4 linked regions of the Nothobranchius furzeri genome follow. The protein of the gene in region 2 binds, or shares a complex with, the protein of the main gene of each other region. Links are inferred from orthologs where the notes say so. Each region holds a gene or a part of one and is shown on either strand. Other genes may lie near its edges.

Region 1 (3,516 bases), on a different chromosome or scaffold from region 2:
TTTTTTTTTACTAAACTGCAGCTACTTAGCATAAAACTCAACCTGAAGGTTGTTTTAGTGTTAAAAACTGTCTGCAGACAGACTGAATAGATAAATCCAGCTCGCTCACCAAATCCAGCGCTGAACCACCACCCAGATACTCCATGATGATCCATAGTTTACTGCCCTGAACAAGAAAACCATTTGTGTTAATAAGTTACAGCAAATGCAGCAAAAGGAAAACGATAAGCAGATGCTGGAAACCAGCAGCAGACACTAACTACGGCTGCTCTCTGTTAACTGTTTCACACACACCTTCGTCACCGACGAGACTCGGATCAGCCTGAACTATGTCTTTTCTCACCTTCAGGTAGGAGCCAAAGTATTTGGTGATGTATGGGCTGTCACACTGACTGAGCACGGTGATCTCCTGCTGGATGTCCTCGATCTCATCTTCCGCCTCCTCCAGGTCGATCGTCTTGATGGCGACAACACTCTGAGAGCGATTATCGATGCCTTTGAACACCTGTTGGAGGTAGATAAAAAGTTAGGATCAGGAAGGAATGGAATGTCTGAGACAAAACAAAGATGAAAATGGACCCACTTCTCCAAAAGACCCTTTTCCAATTCGATCCAGTTTGGTGAACAGCTCCTCTGGATCCACGTGAGAACTCTGAGGAGAGGAAACGGAAACATGTTGTCTTAAAAGTGTTTCCTTTGATGGAAAATTATTGTGATATAACACTAAATTAGTTTTTAGAGAAATGCCTTCAGGACAGTTATTAGCATCATAAGTAGGGCTGCTCGATTATGGCAAAAATAATAATCACGATTATGGTGACTGAAATTGAGATCTCGATTATTTAGGACGATTTTTCAATTTATGTTGATTTTATTTGTTTTTATTCCGTCATAAAATTGCTCAGGGCACAATCAGGACAAAAATAAATAAGAAACAAGATGATCACTAAAAGACATCACAATATACCTATAGACACATTACTAGTGTGTGTGTGTGTGTGTGTGTGCGTGCGTGCGTGCGTGCGTGCGTGCGGGCCTGCTTCGTCTTCTCAATCCCCAGTGAGTCGTGGAGGATGGCTGCTTATACTGAGCCAGGATTCTCTGGAGGTTTCTTCCTGTTAAAAGGGAGTTTTCCTCTCCACTGTCGCTTTATGCTTGCTTAGTATGAGGATTGCTGTATAGTCACTGACACTAGTCAGTGACTTGATGCAATTTGCTGGGTTCCTTATATAGGAAACATTATTTCTGATTGGTTTAATGAACTGTGAATTGGAATGTTTATTATGTGAAGTGCCTTGAGACGACTCTTGTCGTGATTTGGCGCTATATAAATAAACTTGAATTGAATTGAATTAAAATAACCCGATTCCCAGTATAAAAAAGACCAATACACTTATAGCTCATAGTTTATGACCCAAGGGCTATAGACCTTGGTTTCAGGGGTGTGTCCAGGGAGTGGTCTGGGGTAGCACATGCCACCCTTGGAATCTGATTGGCCACCCCAGGTACCACCACACTAATTTAACTTTAAATAGGCTTTTCATTGTCCACAAAAGGCTTGGGGGTAAAACAAAAAGAAAAGCATAACCATTGGTGCCACCCATGCACAAAGTTGTGCCTCACCTGGGCCACCCCATTCTAAAAGATCTGGACACGCCACTGCTTGGTTTAACTCATTTAAGTCTAACCAGTACAGACCCAAATACCAATATCTTGCAAATACTGACAGCAAGAATTATGCAGTGGCATTTATAACAAATACATGCAAATAAAGTGATGTTCACAAAATGTTGCATAACATTTAATGAGTCGTGTCAAGGTGCTGTAGGAGAGTGCACTAGCACCGTGTCCTCAGAGAGGTTAGTTATTATTTATCAGCGTGAGGAACTTATTTATACCTTATTCATGAACTATTTATTTACAGATCCGTCAGTTAATGTAATAATTGTCCCAACCACAGCTGTGGGAGGAGCGCTTCATTTGCAACTCGGGCAGCGCAAGTGGGAGGAGCAAATAATCGGCTTGTTTTGTTTTTATAATCGTTCAAAACTCAGATGGTAATTGGGATTAAAATTCGATTAATTGAGCAGCCCAAAAATAATTATTATGTATTTTATATGTCGTTATTCTGTCTAAGTCACAAATGTTATATTTATTTATTTATTTTAAATTTGCTCTTCCTCCTCCCTCTCTGCTGTGCTTCAGCTCTGCATGTTGATCAGCGATCCTAGAGGGGCTTCCTTCTCTTTAGGGCACCAAATTTAAGTTAGGGATGTCCCGTTCCGATATCGATGTCGAAAGTAATTTGATATTGGCCCAAAAACAGTGTATCGGATTATATCGGACTGCATCAAAAATCTCTGATATAAGCAGTCCATTAAGGTTCACATTTTTTCAACCAATGGTTGCTGGTTCCCAAAGTCAGAGACTCTCTTGCTCAGCTTGCTTCTCACACCAAACCCTCTGTCAGGAATCTTGGTGTGACCTTTGACCCAGCTCTCATCCTGGATTCTCATGTCAGTTCTCTTGTTCGCTCTTCCTTCTTCCATCTCAGGAACGTTGCTAAGCTGAGTCCCATTCTGTCCCGCTCTGAACTTGAGACAGTTCTCCACACCTTCATCTCCTCACGCTTAGACTACTGTAACTCTCTTTTCACGTGTCTGAGCAGAACCTCCCTGAACCGTCTGCAGGTGGTTCAGAATGCCTGTGCTCGGCTTCTGACCAAGTCCTCCAAACACACCCACATCACCCCACTTCTCCTCCAGCTTCACTGGCTGCCGGTCAACTTCAGGGTTCATTTCAAGATCCTGGTTCTGGTCTATAGGGCCTTACATGGACAAGCACCATCTTACATTGGCGATCTTCTTAGTCCCTACACCCCCAGCAGGTCCCTGAGGTCCAGTGATCAAAGCCTACTGGTTAGGCAGCACCAGGCTAAAGACCAAAGGTGACAGATCATTTGTTGCTGTAGCCCCCAGACTCTGGAACTCTCTCTTCCTGAGCCTGAGATCAGTGGACTCAGTGGTCTCCTTTAAAAAGCAGCTGAAGACTCACTTGTTCCGGATGGCTTTTGTGACCTTCATCACCACTCTCTATTCTGCTCTTATTCCGCCTTTTCTGGGATCCACCTATTTCCCTCTTTCCTATGAATTTTCTCTCTCCTTTTCCTTACATATTTTTTAATCACAATTGAAAAATTTTCTCATTGTTAACATATTTTTAATAATATTTAGAAATATTTTGTGTACATTTGTATACATTTGGGAAGTGCCTAATGACCATCATCTTGAGATGCTCTGTATAAAAGATTGTTTTCTTTTGCCACAGCTGTCGGCATGACAGACACATCAATGAACCAATCAGAACAAGTTGTAGGCAGTGTGCTGTTTTGTTTAGCTGGGGGTGCTCAGTGAAGCTGAGGAAAATAATGAAATAATCGATGCATGAAGATGCGGACATAAACGATTATGAATCTTTGCCAAAGCAACCATACTCACTTATAGCGGATAGCTGCTA
Region 2 (4,169 bases):
CTCGAGCTTATTTGGGTTACATTTTAAACCAAAAGCCTGATGACTCAGCAGCTTTAAAAAACACAAAGGCAATCGCCTAAAAACTAAATGAAACCAGTCATCCTTCTCAAAATTAGATTGTTAGGATGACATAACGCAATAACAATCAACACAAAAATAATAATAATAATAAATAAAACACCGCACAGGATTAAGCTCTAATCAGAGATTACATAAAGCTGGATGAAGATGTGACCTTCTTCTTCAATCTCTTCATCATCTACGAGAGATGATGATGATGATGATGATGATGTCAATCCAGGTGTAGAAAAAATACCAACAGCCATTACGTAAACACCTCGTCTAAAGTTCCAACCACACCTGCCAGAGCGGCGAGGACGAGGCACGCCCTGCCAAATTCCAGCTCTGCCCAAAACGACGTCAGTCAACAAACCGCGCAAGCACAGAGAAACCAAGTCAGCGTTTTCTGAGTAAGAGCAATCCCATTAAAACGAGCAAAGTGTTTCCACACAACAACTTGGAGCGATAACACCCGATGATGAGGAGAAACTGCAACCAGAAATGATGATGTCACACATGATGACTGTGGTTAAAGGTTAAACTGCTTTAGCCGCCCTACAGACGGCTTTTCTTACTGCTTCTGTCTTGAAACGGGTCCCGCAGAGGTACTCTAGGTAGGGCGACCATCGACACATTACATCACTGTCTGACCTTATGTGATGCCACATGATTGTTGCACTCAAATAGGGACAGAAATCTGAATTTTGCATTTTGTTACGTGAGGCAAAAATAAAGAGCTTATTTATGACAACTAATTTTATTTTAACCGAGAAAAAAGATCGCCAAGAGGGGAACAACACATTTTCTCTATGTAATTAACCAATTGATTCACTAATCTTTTAATTTTCCAGATATATTCAGGCCACCAAGAGCTGACTGAACTATAAAACTTCATTATTTAGCCACCTACTGGAAGAAACTGCAGCAGTTTTTGCTGAGAAAGCTGGAAAGGAAGAAAATGACTGAGAAGTGATTACATAGCACATCACTTTCCTTCACACACACATCCCATAACAGAGATGGCTGGCTCTCTGAGTCACAACACACTGCTGTCCTCAGTCTCACAGTCTGATCTCCGTAGCAACAAAGCTTTGATGGTGCTGCTGGTGATGCAACTCACAATCAATCACATCCTCTGCTATTTTTAAAGTGAGGAGGATGTTGTGTGGGTGTTTTGCTGGAAATTTTAGCAAAAGTGCACAGGAGAAAAGATGGAGGGGTGGATGAAGTGGGGGGGGGGGTTCAACTGACCTCATGGTTGTCATTAAACCAAACATATCCTCCATTTCTGTTGTTTTAAGGACTAAATGAAACCGATCACTTTAAGATAAAAAATAAATGAAACCAAAACACCTCATCTCTTTTGGCGGACGGAGACAAAACAAAGCAGTAATTTGAGTCACAGCTGAGGCCAGACCCATGGAGACTGAGGTCTTGGCCCACGGTGCAACGGGGACATTTTTAAAACTACAGGAAGCAAACATTACAGCTGATCTAGAAAAAAAATGTTGATATTTATGATCTGCTCGAGACTAGATGCAGGTAAAAAGATAAATAAAGCCCATCCAAACGTAGCCTTCTGTCGGTATATTCTGGAACCCTGCATGTTTTATCACATGAACAAAAAACAGATCAACATAATAACACAAAAGCATTATTAGAGAATCTGATTAAAGATCATTGCTGATATTTTCCCACTAGCCCATCAGGTCATCATTTAGATCTGGAAATCTGCAAAGGTTTTTTAGGATGGATGGCTTTAAACTGCAGGAATCAGTGTTGGACTTTTGGACTTGGATTTAGCCAATGCAGAAATCTTACATCTAATTTTTCCTTTACTTATCACAAAGAAACTGGCTTAAATAAATAAACACCAGTGAAGTGGCTGAAAGGTCAAACGTCAGTCTTGGAGCTTCTGTGAGCACAAAAACAACCACATAAAGATGCTTGAATTGATTTGTCAGACTAAAATAATAGATCCCAGAGGCCCGTGAGATCAATTTAAACCTATTTTTAGGCTCTAGTTTCTGCCCAAAAATAGTGTACCGTTTAATTTTAATGAGACAAGACTGTCTCAATGAAAGTATAAATAAAAAAACATGTAAACAGATCATGCCAACAGGATAACTTCACATCCTCTGGAAAAAAAAATAAAATTAATTATCGAGTTCATGTTTGTGCGGCACTGATAAAAATATTGTTTTTAAACATATTTTATCCATTAAGGCTGAGTTACTCCCAGGGTTCAGTAACTGACGCGGATGCTGTCTATAGGATGAGGAGGGATGTAAATATGCTGTGTGACTGGAATTAAGCTAGCAACGATCCAAACAGGCGGCTGTAATTAATGTAGCCTAGCCTAAAGTTATGAAAAAACGCACCTCACTATGAAATCTACACTATCGACGCCATTTTAAAAATGTCTGAACGACGATAGCTGTTGCAGACAATGTTAGTTTTTTTTATAACAATTTATTTCCATCTCACCTTTTCACATAGCGCCTTCACTTGTCCTTCGGATAGCTGTTTGCATTCGTTCAGCTGCTCAATCCACTGGTCCAGATCTTTCGTGAACGCCTTTTCGTCCATTGCTGTTTTTTTTTGTGTTTCCTTACCGAAGCGGCGTGTAGTTTGGTTAAAAACCCGCCTCTGCTACCCGTTTTTTGAGACCCTACTCTTTTGAGTTTACAAGCCGGGCAGAGCAGAGGCTAAAGGACCCTCAGCGAGCAGATGCATCCACTTCCAGATCGCTACGATTTGACTGAAGGGAACAACTGAAGAAGAGGGAGAAGCGCCAGCCGGCGATTCACTTGTATCAAGTCGTTTGTTGTTATACAAAGCAGTTCCGGTTAAGACTTTCTAAATAAAAGCACCACGTCGTTACTGTGAATTCAAATTTAAAATAAGCTACATAACAACCAAATGAGTTTTTAAAAAGACTGTTCTGTTTTTCAAATTGCTTCAAAATGTATCTTAAAAGCAGAGAAGATGGCAGGATATGTGTCAGTAAAGCATTTTTAGATAATTGTCAGAAAATTTAAAGTCTTTTCAATTCAAACTGAAATTTGTACACAGTCTTGCATAATAACTCTTAGTTTATCATTGTAAACATCTACTTTAGTTGTAAACAATATGTTAATCCTTAAAGTGGTTAGAAATTTGTGATTTATAAAACATGAAAAAGAGCAAAATAGAAGAATGATTTTTAAAATTAGCTTTAAAATCTCATGTTAACATTACAGTCACAACGCCTTTTCATCACCCGATGCAACAGATCTTTCCAGTGTAAACATGACAATGACATAGCTTGTATTTATTTATTTATGTCTTTTAGCAGGACAGAACAGTGAATCAGAGTTGTGGTTGTCTAATAATATTGTTTTTTATTTTAATTTTAAATTTCTTTATATATAAAGAAAAATATATGTGTATATATTTTTTTCAATTACATTTTTATAGAGCTTGTGAAGTGCCTTGTGATTTTTAGCTATAAAGGCTCTATATAAAACAACCTTTCTTCTTCTTAATTATGCAAAAGTTGCTATATACCAATTATGAATCTGTAATATACCTTTTTTAAAGATTAGCTGAGAAAAAAGATAACCCATTGTTTCTTACTTAGAGTAATTTGGGGACATACAATAGCTTTTATTTCATTTTAATGTTCCCTTTTGTATTAAACCTTTATTCTCCAAATAAAATCTTACATTTCCGGTCTAGGTTTACGTCCAACTTCACGTACAGCAGGGCGAGCCGATGATAGCAGCTCAGTGATTGGTTCACAAAGCAGCTTCCTCTGCAATTTCATTGGCTCCTCATTCATCAAAGAACAAGTTACAACTCGTTTTAGGGAATACGTCACCGCTGCTCACTCGAATTACGATATGAATTCAGTATGTTGTGTATGATGTCCTTTTATTTGGGCTGCGTAAACAATATAAAAATTAAGCTTTACACTGTGTCCACGTGCTTCAGGTAGTGACAAACACACAAAACAGTCCAACAGAAAAACGGCCACATCTGTAAACCGAGTTACATGGATTTGTGTTTACATTCTAAATGTACTTTGTTGTATCTGCTAAATGACATTTAACAAAACTACTCAGATG
Region 3 (3,516 bases), on a different chromosome or scaffold from region 2:
TTGGCCATGAACACAAACCAAAATGGATCTAACCATACACTTAGGCTCTGCGTCGTTCCTGCTCATTTGCATGGTTTCCTCTATTCAGCTGTGGATGAGTGTAATTTTGTTGTTTTTATTCCAGACGCCTCCTCTGCAGAGCAGCAGGAGCTTTTCACCCAGAAACTCCAACAGTGCTGCACCATCTTTGACTTCCTGGACTCGTTGGTGGACCTAAAGAGCAAAGAGGTGAAGAGGGCCACGCTGAACGAGCTGGTGGTCTACGTCTCCACCAACAGAGGAGTTCTGGTGGAGGCAGCGTATCCGCAGATCGTCAAAATGGTGAGGCGGCGCTCTTGATCATCACCGAAGTCATGTAGACTCATTTAATTTTGGAAATCAACTGACGCAACTGTAAATGTTCAGGAACTTCATAATTTATCTATAAATATTTATTTGATGCTTAAGTTTTTTTAATTGGATTCTCACTTTTTTTCCTCATCTCATGAAATAATTTGCATAACATGAATTATTATGCTAGAAATTACTGAAGTCTTTTATTTAGGCAATTTCATCATTAGATTCATGGCTTTTTTTTTTTTTTTTTTTTTTGCATTTGATAGACCAGATTAATTTTAATCATCTGTGCTCGAGGACCAGAAAACACATTTCGTACCACAGATCTACAGTCAAAAAACTGTAAAGCAGCTGGATTATTAACATCTGATGCCTGGAATCCACACATTGGTCATAAGAAGTCATGTTACACAAATACCATGTTTGATAAACTCATCGACCATCTGTTTTAGGGTGTGTGTGTGCGTGTGCGTGCGTGTGCGTGCGTCCTCCCACTTGATAATAATGAGTCAGGTGCAGCCTTTAGGGGACAACAGTCAGTGCTGCAGTGATGGACTCCACACTGGATTATGGTGCTAGATACCACTGAGCACATCCTCAGCTGGGTCAAGGAGTCTTCAGATTACTGATGGATTGTAGGCAGGAGTTCATGTCATACTTTTCCAGTGATTGCTTAGGGATCCTTTATTCACTTTAAAGTGTAAGAAAGTAGAGGAGGAAATCACGCGGAGCCTCGTGATTTGATGCAATTTAAAAATTATGCATCTTTCTTTTAGTTTTTGTGACCATTTATGACTTTTAAATTAATGTACGTATAACCCAAATGAGTTGAACTGTATTATATATTTTTATGTTTTAATAAGAAAAATAATCAAAACTGTTGTTTTTAAAACATTTTACTTTTGTGACAGTTTGAGTATAAAAGTCCCCCACACAAATAAATGAATAAACATAACAGAAAAGTTCAGCTTCAGTTTACTGAAGTGATTATAAGGCAGACCCATCTATCCACATTATGAATTGTTAGAAGATGATGAAGACTACGACAAAAAAATGACCAGGAAGAGGACAAAAAAAGACAATGTCAACAAAAACGATGAAGAAGAAGACGACAGTGATAAAGAAGAATAAGATGGCAAAGAAAAAGGAGAATTGCAAGAGTGTGTGTGTGTGTGTGCGTGTGCGTGTGTGTGTGTGTGTGTGTGTGCGCGCGTGTGCGTGCGCGTCTGGACGCCGTCAGACGGCTAGGTTAATAACTGAACTCGTGACCACTCGACACTTGGCATCAGACGAGGGCAAAGAGACAATCGCTTCAAGTGCTGCTCTTTATCCAAACGTCAGAATAAATCTCGTTTGAAGGATTAGTTTAGACAAACTGCACATTCAGCATATAGGATTAAAATTAGCACCTTTTTCCCTTTTTTGTTGCTGGTGGCCTTGATTCTCTCACCTTCCCCTCTCGTACGGCCCGTTGCTAGGTGTTGGTTGCCGTCACCCACAGGCAGACGAAGCTTGGCCTTCCTCACCAGCTTCACCTGCAGCTCTCACACTTAAGAACAGCCTGTTCTGAATCCTCCTACATCACTTTCAAACACAAATAGCTGTTTTCGTTCTCCCTTGTATGAAAATATCGCTCACGCCTCTGATGTTTGCCATCCTCCCACAGTGTTTTCTCTTGTTGAGTCCAATTTTACTTATTTATTCTGCAAGGTGACTGAGAGAATGAAATAACTGCCCCTGATGCTTGTGCGGTGGATTATTTGTGTGTGTGTGGTACAACAATACCGTCCCTCCTCTGTGATACTATGTTTAGACCATGCACACACAGTAAAAAGGAAGACTTAACAGGATGTGTGTCAGCTTTATTAAGATTCTGCAAACCCAACAAGTGTGAAGTTCTGGATTATGGCCAGCTGGGTTCTCACGGTTTGTGTTCTATCCTCAGATCTGGTCCAACTTGTTGCTGTAGTTCTCAGTAGGTAAAATTTAGCAAAGTGGTAGGTTTAAAATGTCAGCTGCATCGCAGATTTCTGCCAAAACACCAGGGATCTAGGTGTTTGTTTAGGATAATAATTCAATTCAGTTGATTTATATAGTGTCAAATCACGACGAGTCGTCGTCTCAAGGCACAAAGTAAACATTACAAAATCTTTCAGAGGTCTCATTTATCAAGCTTGCTTGCGCACTAAACGGGGTCGGAAAACTGCGTAAGCAACTTTCCACGCAAACTTTGGGATTTATGAAAGAAAACTTAGCGGAAAAATGTGCGCAACTTTAAGTTGACTAAGGACCTGGCTTACGCACATGTTGGACATGGAGAGCACCTGCAGTGCTGCTGCTGAGAAGGATACAATTATGAAATCCTGCAGCATTATCACTTGTACCGCTTCCTGTTCACACAGAACAAGACCTCACACACACGCGCACACACACACGCGCACACACACACACACACACACACACACACACACACACACACACACACACACACACACACACACACACACACACACAGCCTGAAGCGCAGAATACAGAATGCAGAATATCAGCAGGGGGACAGATTGAGGACTCAGGACTCTATCAAATGCAGGGCATTTATCCTTTTTATTTTTAGAACGCTCTTTGAACAACCTCAGCTTATATCTGCTCACAGCTAGTTGTTAGCTTGCCAGCTAACACTCATAAATATCCATATAATTCTATGTAAATATCACTATGTAAAACACAATGAAAACATCAGAATACACCACAATTAGAGACCAAATTTGTTTTAAGATGACAGAAATCACATTTTGGACTGGCCCAGCTCAGACTAGCTGTTAGCTAGTCAATCTATTTGTGCTAATCTCTGCTGATCCAAATTTAGAACGTTCAAAAAGCATCTGATCAATCAGCAGGGTTCGTCTTGGTGCTTGAAATCCTTTAAAAATGTTTGATAATTTAAAGGTATAGAAAGTGCTTGAATTTGTATTTAAGCACTTAAAAACAGCAACAGAAATTAGTCATAGTCCTAAAATACCAACTCTGTTTTAAAAGCCTCATGTATTTTAAAATCATCGCCAGTGTTAGATGATGGAAAATCTTCAACACTGACCTCGTGAGTTCTTAAAGGGTGCTTGAGCTAGATTTTTATTGAAGTATGAGTTCGCCCCTTCTTTTCCGACAACGTTCCCATTTAAA
Region 4 (3,516 bases), on a different chromosome or scaffold from region 2:
ATGTAAATAAATTGCTGTTCTGTTTAATAACACACCTTGTTCCATCTATGTTTTGTGTGTTTTTTAATCTCCTGAACCCAGATCGCTACCTTTCTCCTTATTGAAGACCGACACGCAGGGAGACGAGTTCTGAGGGTCCCAGATGCGAATCGTGGCATCGGCCGAGCACGAAGCGAGGCGATGGTGAACAGCCGAGTACGTCAGACCCCAAACGCTGTCCTCGTGGCCTTCTAACACACTGCTCTGGACACCTGGATCTGAAAGAAAATATAAAGCTTTTTTAATCAACCCTCAAACAATATGTCTCTAAACTCAAATCATTAGATTCCTCAGTCAAATATTTGAGCCTTTTATGGTTTTAACGACACACACACTTCCTGTAGACGTTAACGCTGAAATCCAGCAGGACGTCTGCTGTTTTCTCTCCCCGTCAACTATTAAAGCACCAAATCTGTGCAGAGAGAATGAGGTTCCGGCACTCATCTAATCAAATAAAAACAAATAAAATAAAAGGGTTATAAGTAACATTTTCTCCTGTTGGCTCCTCTAAAAAATTACAAACTTTTAAAATGATGTAGTCTTTAATAACAGTTTAATAAATATAATTATTTAGATGTGTTAGATCAGTCAGCGATGGGGCTGTAGCTGTCTAGATCCCTCTTTCAGCTGCATTCTCGTGAATGAACAGCAGGGGGTGACACTTCCAGCTGCAACAGAAGCAGAAGAAGTGACCCTAACTTTTATTCATTTTTTTCAGTGCAAAATAATGAATGTGCTTCAAATGTGGAATAACTCGATTTAATGTAACTTAAGTAGATTAAACTCTCTTTTTGACTTATAGTGCAGGAAAACACCTCAGCATTTGAAAGGCTGCAGCTTTCTTCACATAAATAAATTATTACAAACTCCAGGCTTTTTACCAACAAGGGGACACTCCGGAGAAGACTCACCGTAGTTATCGTAGGGATCTACATTGAGGTCGGGCATCTTCCAACATCTGACAGTTCCATCTAAGCCTCCGCTGAAGCAGGACTCTCCATCCTCACTCGTGGTCAGGGACAAAACAGATCCACTGCACAGAAAAAGACAGGCTTGTGAATGACGAGTAACTAGTAAAACAGGTGGCACCTGTAAATGTCTGAATTGACTCACCTGTGAGCCCTAAACGTGTAGATGGGCTCAACGTCCAAAGCTGCATTCCTGCGGGGAAACAGGAGCTTGTTACTTTTTAGTTTGTGATCAAACGACTATGTCCACTAAAAGATCTCTCACTTTTTAGAGTGCATGGCCTTGTTGAGGTTCCACAGTTTTAGCGTGCCATCCTCAGACGCGGTGAGCAGAACTGCTTGGCTGGGGTGAAAGGTCAAAGCCCGGATAGCGTCAAAGTGGCTGCGTAGTGTGAAACGAGGGTTCCATGTCTTCTTGAAATCCTCTCTGTTGTCCTGCATCTAACAGGATAAAAAACACATCGGGACATATTTAGTTACTAACGTGTTTTAGTGTTGACCAGATCTGATCTGTAATTACATCTATGGAGAGGTCGTTGTCATTGGCGACGGTGAGATCAGCCAGTTCCCCGAGGTTCATGTCCCCTCCTCCGACAGCATCCATGATGAAGACGTCAGAGGAGAATCCAAGAGCACCACCTAGAGGTTGGAGGTGGAAAGACAAATGTTTATCTTTTTATCCAGGTGTTCTTCTCCCGCACTACCGGTGAAGCAGGTGTAGGTGTACTCCCTCCACACAAGCTTTGATTCAGATCTACATTTGAGCTACAAGTGTATGTGTGGGTAGGTGGGAGGAGTACACGGGCAAAGTAGAGCGAGTCGTTTTTAAAAGTGGAATATTAGAAGTCCTACCTTCCCCGGAGCGAGCCTGTCCCGATACAGCCGGGGGCGGAGAAGGTTTAGGAGGGAAGTCCGACATTATGCCTTGTAGCTTGTTCCTGCGGTTCTCTGAAGCCGGCAAGAGGAGAAAGACAAAACATCTAGTCATGACGAGGAGGAGGAGGAGGAGGAAGGATGGACGCTAATACAAGATATCCTAAAGAGGTTTTAATCTTCATGGGAAGGAGAGACACGTCATTTATGACCCAAAGAGTGGAATGTGAGCGTGTAAGAGGCTGCATGCGTGGTGACCTGTGAAATGAGCCACGGCAGGAACACACACACAGAAAGGTGACAGCCACACAGCTCCACAGACCCACAGACAGCTCATGAAACAGGACAGAGAGACGGGTGGTTGGGAAAAGAGGTCGGTTTTATTCACATGAAAAGATGCAAAGACACAAACAACAGGAAGAAGACATCAGAGGTATAAAGGTGAGCATGGGGAGGCACAAAAACAAACAAAAGGCAGGGACACTGTTTGTTGGCAGTGTTTTTCTGGCAGGGGTTGGTGATGTTGCTACGGCAACGGCGTACCTAACTCCCGTCCATCCCCCGAGATCCGGGCCTCTCCCGCCCCCTCCCCATCCTCCCCCGAGCCAAGAAAGTCAAATTCACTGAGGGCGTCCTCCGAGTCGTCCTCGTCCTCCTCGTCCTCGTGGTCCAGATCTGTGGTCATGGGTTCTGAGCTCATCTGGACGGGCAAAGACGGCAGGATCAGCACGAGACAGCTGGAAACAATTTACTAAAATCTAGTTCATCGTTGGCGACCTGACCTTTACGCGGGACTTTTTGCTTTTGCGTGGACCATCGATGCAGTCGGTGGCTATGCCTTGGAAGTCCTCTTCCTCGTCGCTGTCGTCCTCATCGTCGTCCTCGCAGCCATGAAGGAAGGGGATCTTATCCAGCACAGAGCTTCCCACGTGTTCCTTGGAGCTTTCTTTGCCGGCATTCCTATTAAAGGTAACGGTTAGAAAACATAATTAAGGACACCGGTGTTTGCCGGACGGCAGAATGGGTTCAAGCACTGGGAGACACCATAAACCCATCACACAAGATGTCACACCCAGCAGATAAATATTTGATCAAACTAAAGGGTGAAAAGGGTTCTTCTGTGCAGCAAACCAGCCTTTAGTCTGCCTAATTATTAAGCAACTGTCTAATTTATTAGATTATGCTCTGATGCTAGCTGGACCCTTTTCTGGGTCTCTCACCATTCTGCTGCTGGATTTCAAGTACATAACTAAATGCCTTGTGAGTCGATCTCTGTGGGAAAATTTTCAGGAAGTGGAAGTGAGGATGTATTGTCCTGTTTCCTGATATTTGGATATCTTGCCTCTGATTGGCCAACTGTAATGTGACTACCACTCGCTCCACTTGATCTGCAACATTGATGGTTTATCTCCACAAATAACACAAGCCTGGAGGAGTTGTGCTGCGTGATGGAGTTGCTAATGGTAAAGGTTAGCTTCTACTCTCTTCTGGGCACTAGACCAACAACAGCATTCCCTGCCACAAGCCAAGATGGGTGAGTTCACGAACGCTAATTTTAAATGTGACTTAGATCTATCAGGCGTTACTAATCCCAATGTTTCCACGTCTATTTTCTTTCAGCATCTAATTTAGTTCC

Evidence for each region. Proteins that work in one complex are often made in the same cells at the same time.
Region 1: ppp2cab (region 2) and stk26 share a complex: the UniProt entries of both Homo sapiens proteins name them as parts of the core of STRIPAK complex. The link is inferred for Nothobranchius furzeri from reciprocal best matches to the Homo sapiens genes PPP2CA and STK26.
Region 3: the proteins of ppp2cab (region 2) and ppp2r5a are in contact, whole or in part, in a cryo-EM structure (PDB 6NTS), measured with the Homo sapiens proteins. The link is inferred for Nothobranchius furzeri from reciprocal best matches to the Homo sapiens genes PPP2CA and PPP2R5A. Residues at the interface, in NP_002706.1 of Homo sapiens: Arg121, Gln122, Gln125, Tyr130, Asp131, Leu134, Ala140, Trp143, Arg268; in NP_006234.1 of Homo sapiens: Glu146, Glu147, Glu149, Thr281, Lys283, Lys316, Phe317, Trp318, Pro319, Lys320, Thr321, Ser323, Gln324, Lys325, Ser362, Ser363, His364, Phe365, Trp407.
Region 4: ppp2cab (region 2) and strn4 share a complex: the UniProt entries of both Homo sapiens proteins name them as parts of the core of STRIPAK complex. The link is inferred for Nothobranchius furzeri from reciprocal best matches to the Homo sapiens genes PPP2CA and STRN4.

What each region holds. Positions count from the first base shown.
Region 1 is NC_091742.1:86,838,030-86,841,545, reverse strand, and holds part of stk26 (serine/threonine-protein kinase 26), read right to left. Parts: intron 653-3,516; coding exon 584-652; intron 506-583; coding exon 344-505; intron 167-343; coding exon 110-166; intron 1-109. UniProt on the Homo sapiens protein: Serine/threonine-protein kinase that acts as a mediator of cell growth. Modulates apoptosis. In association with STK24 negatively regulates Golgi reorientation in polarized cell migration upon RHO activation.
Region 2 is NC_091750.1:60,016,869-60,021,037, forward strand, and holds the start of ppp2cab (serine/threonine-protein phosphatase 2A catalytic subunit alpha isoform), read right to left. Parts: upstream 2,805-4,169; 5' UTR 2,650-2,804; coding exon 2,548-2,649; intron 1-2,547. UniProt on the Homo sapiens protein: Catalytic subunit of protein phosphatase 2A (PP2A), a serine/threonine phosphatase involved in the regulation of a wide variety of enzymes, signal transduction pathways, and cellular events.
Region 3 is NC_091742.1:7,920,752-7,924,267, forward strand, and holds part of ppp2r5a (serine/threonine-protein phosphatase 2A 56 kDa regulatory subunit alpha isoform), read left to right. Parts: intron 1-124; coding exon 125-321; intron 322-3,516. UniProt on the Homo sapiens protein: The B regulatory subunit might modulate substrate selectivity and catalytic activity, and might also direct the localization of the catalytic enzyme to a particular subcellular compartment.
Region 4 is NC_091753.1:40,951,227-40,954,742, forward strand, and holds part of strn4 (striatin-4), read right to left. Parts: intron 2,841-3,516; coding exon 2,663-2,840; intron 2,581-2,662; coding exon 2,424-2,580; intron 1,956-2,423; coding exon 1,860-1,955; intron 1,647-1,859; coding exon 1,528-1,646; intron 1,449-1,527; coding exon 1,273-1,448; intron 1,201-1,272; coding exon 1,153-1,200; intron 1,073-1,152; coding exon 951-1,072; intron 258-950; coding exon 90-257; intron 1-89. UniProt on the Homo sapiens protein: Calmodulin-binding scaffolding protein which is the center of the striatin-interacting phosphatase and kinase (STRIPAK) complexes.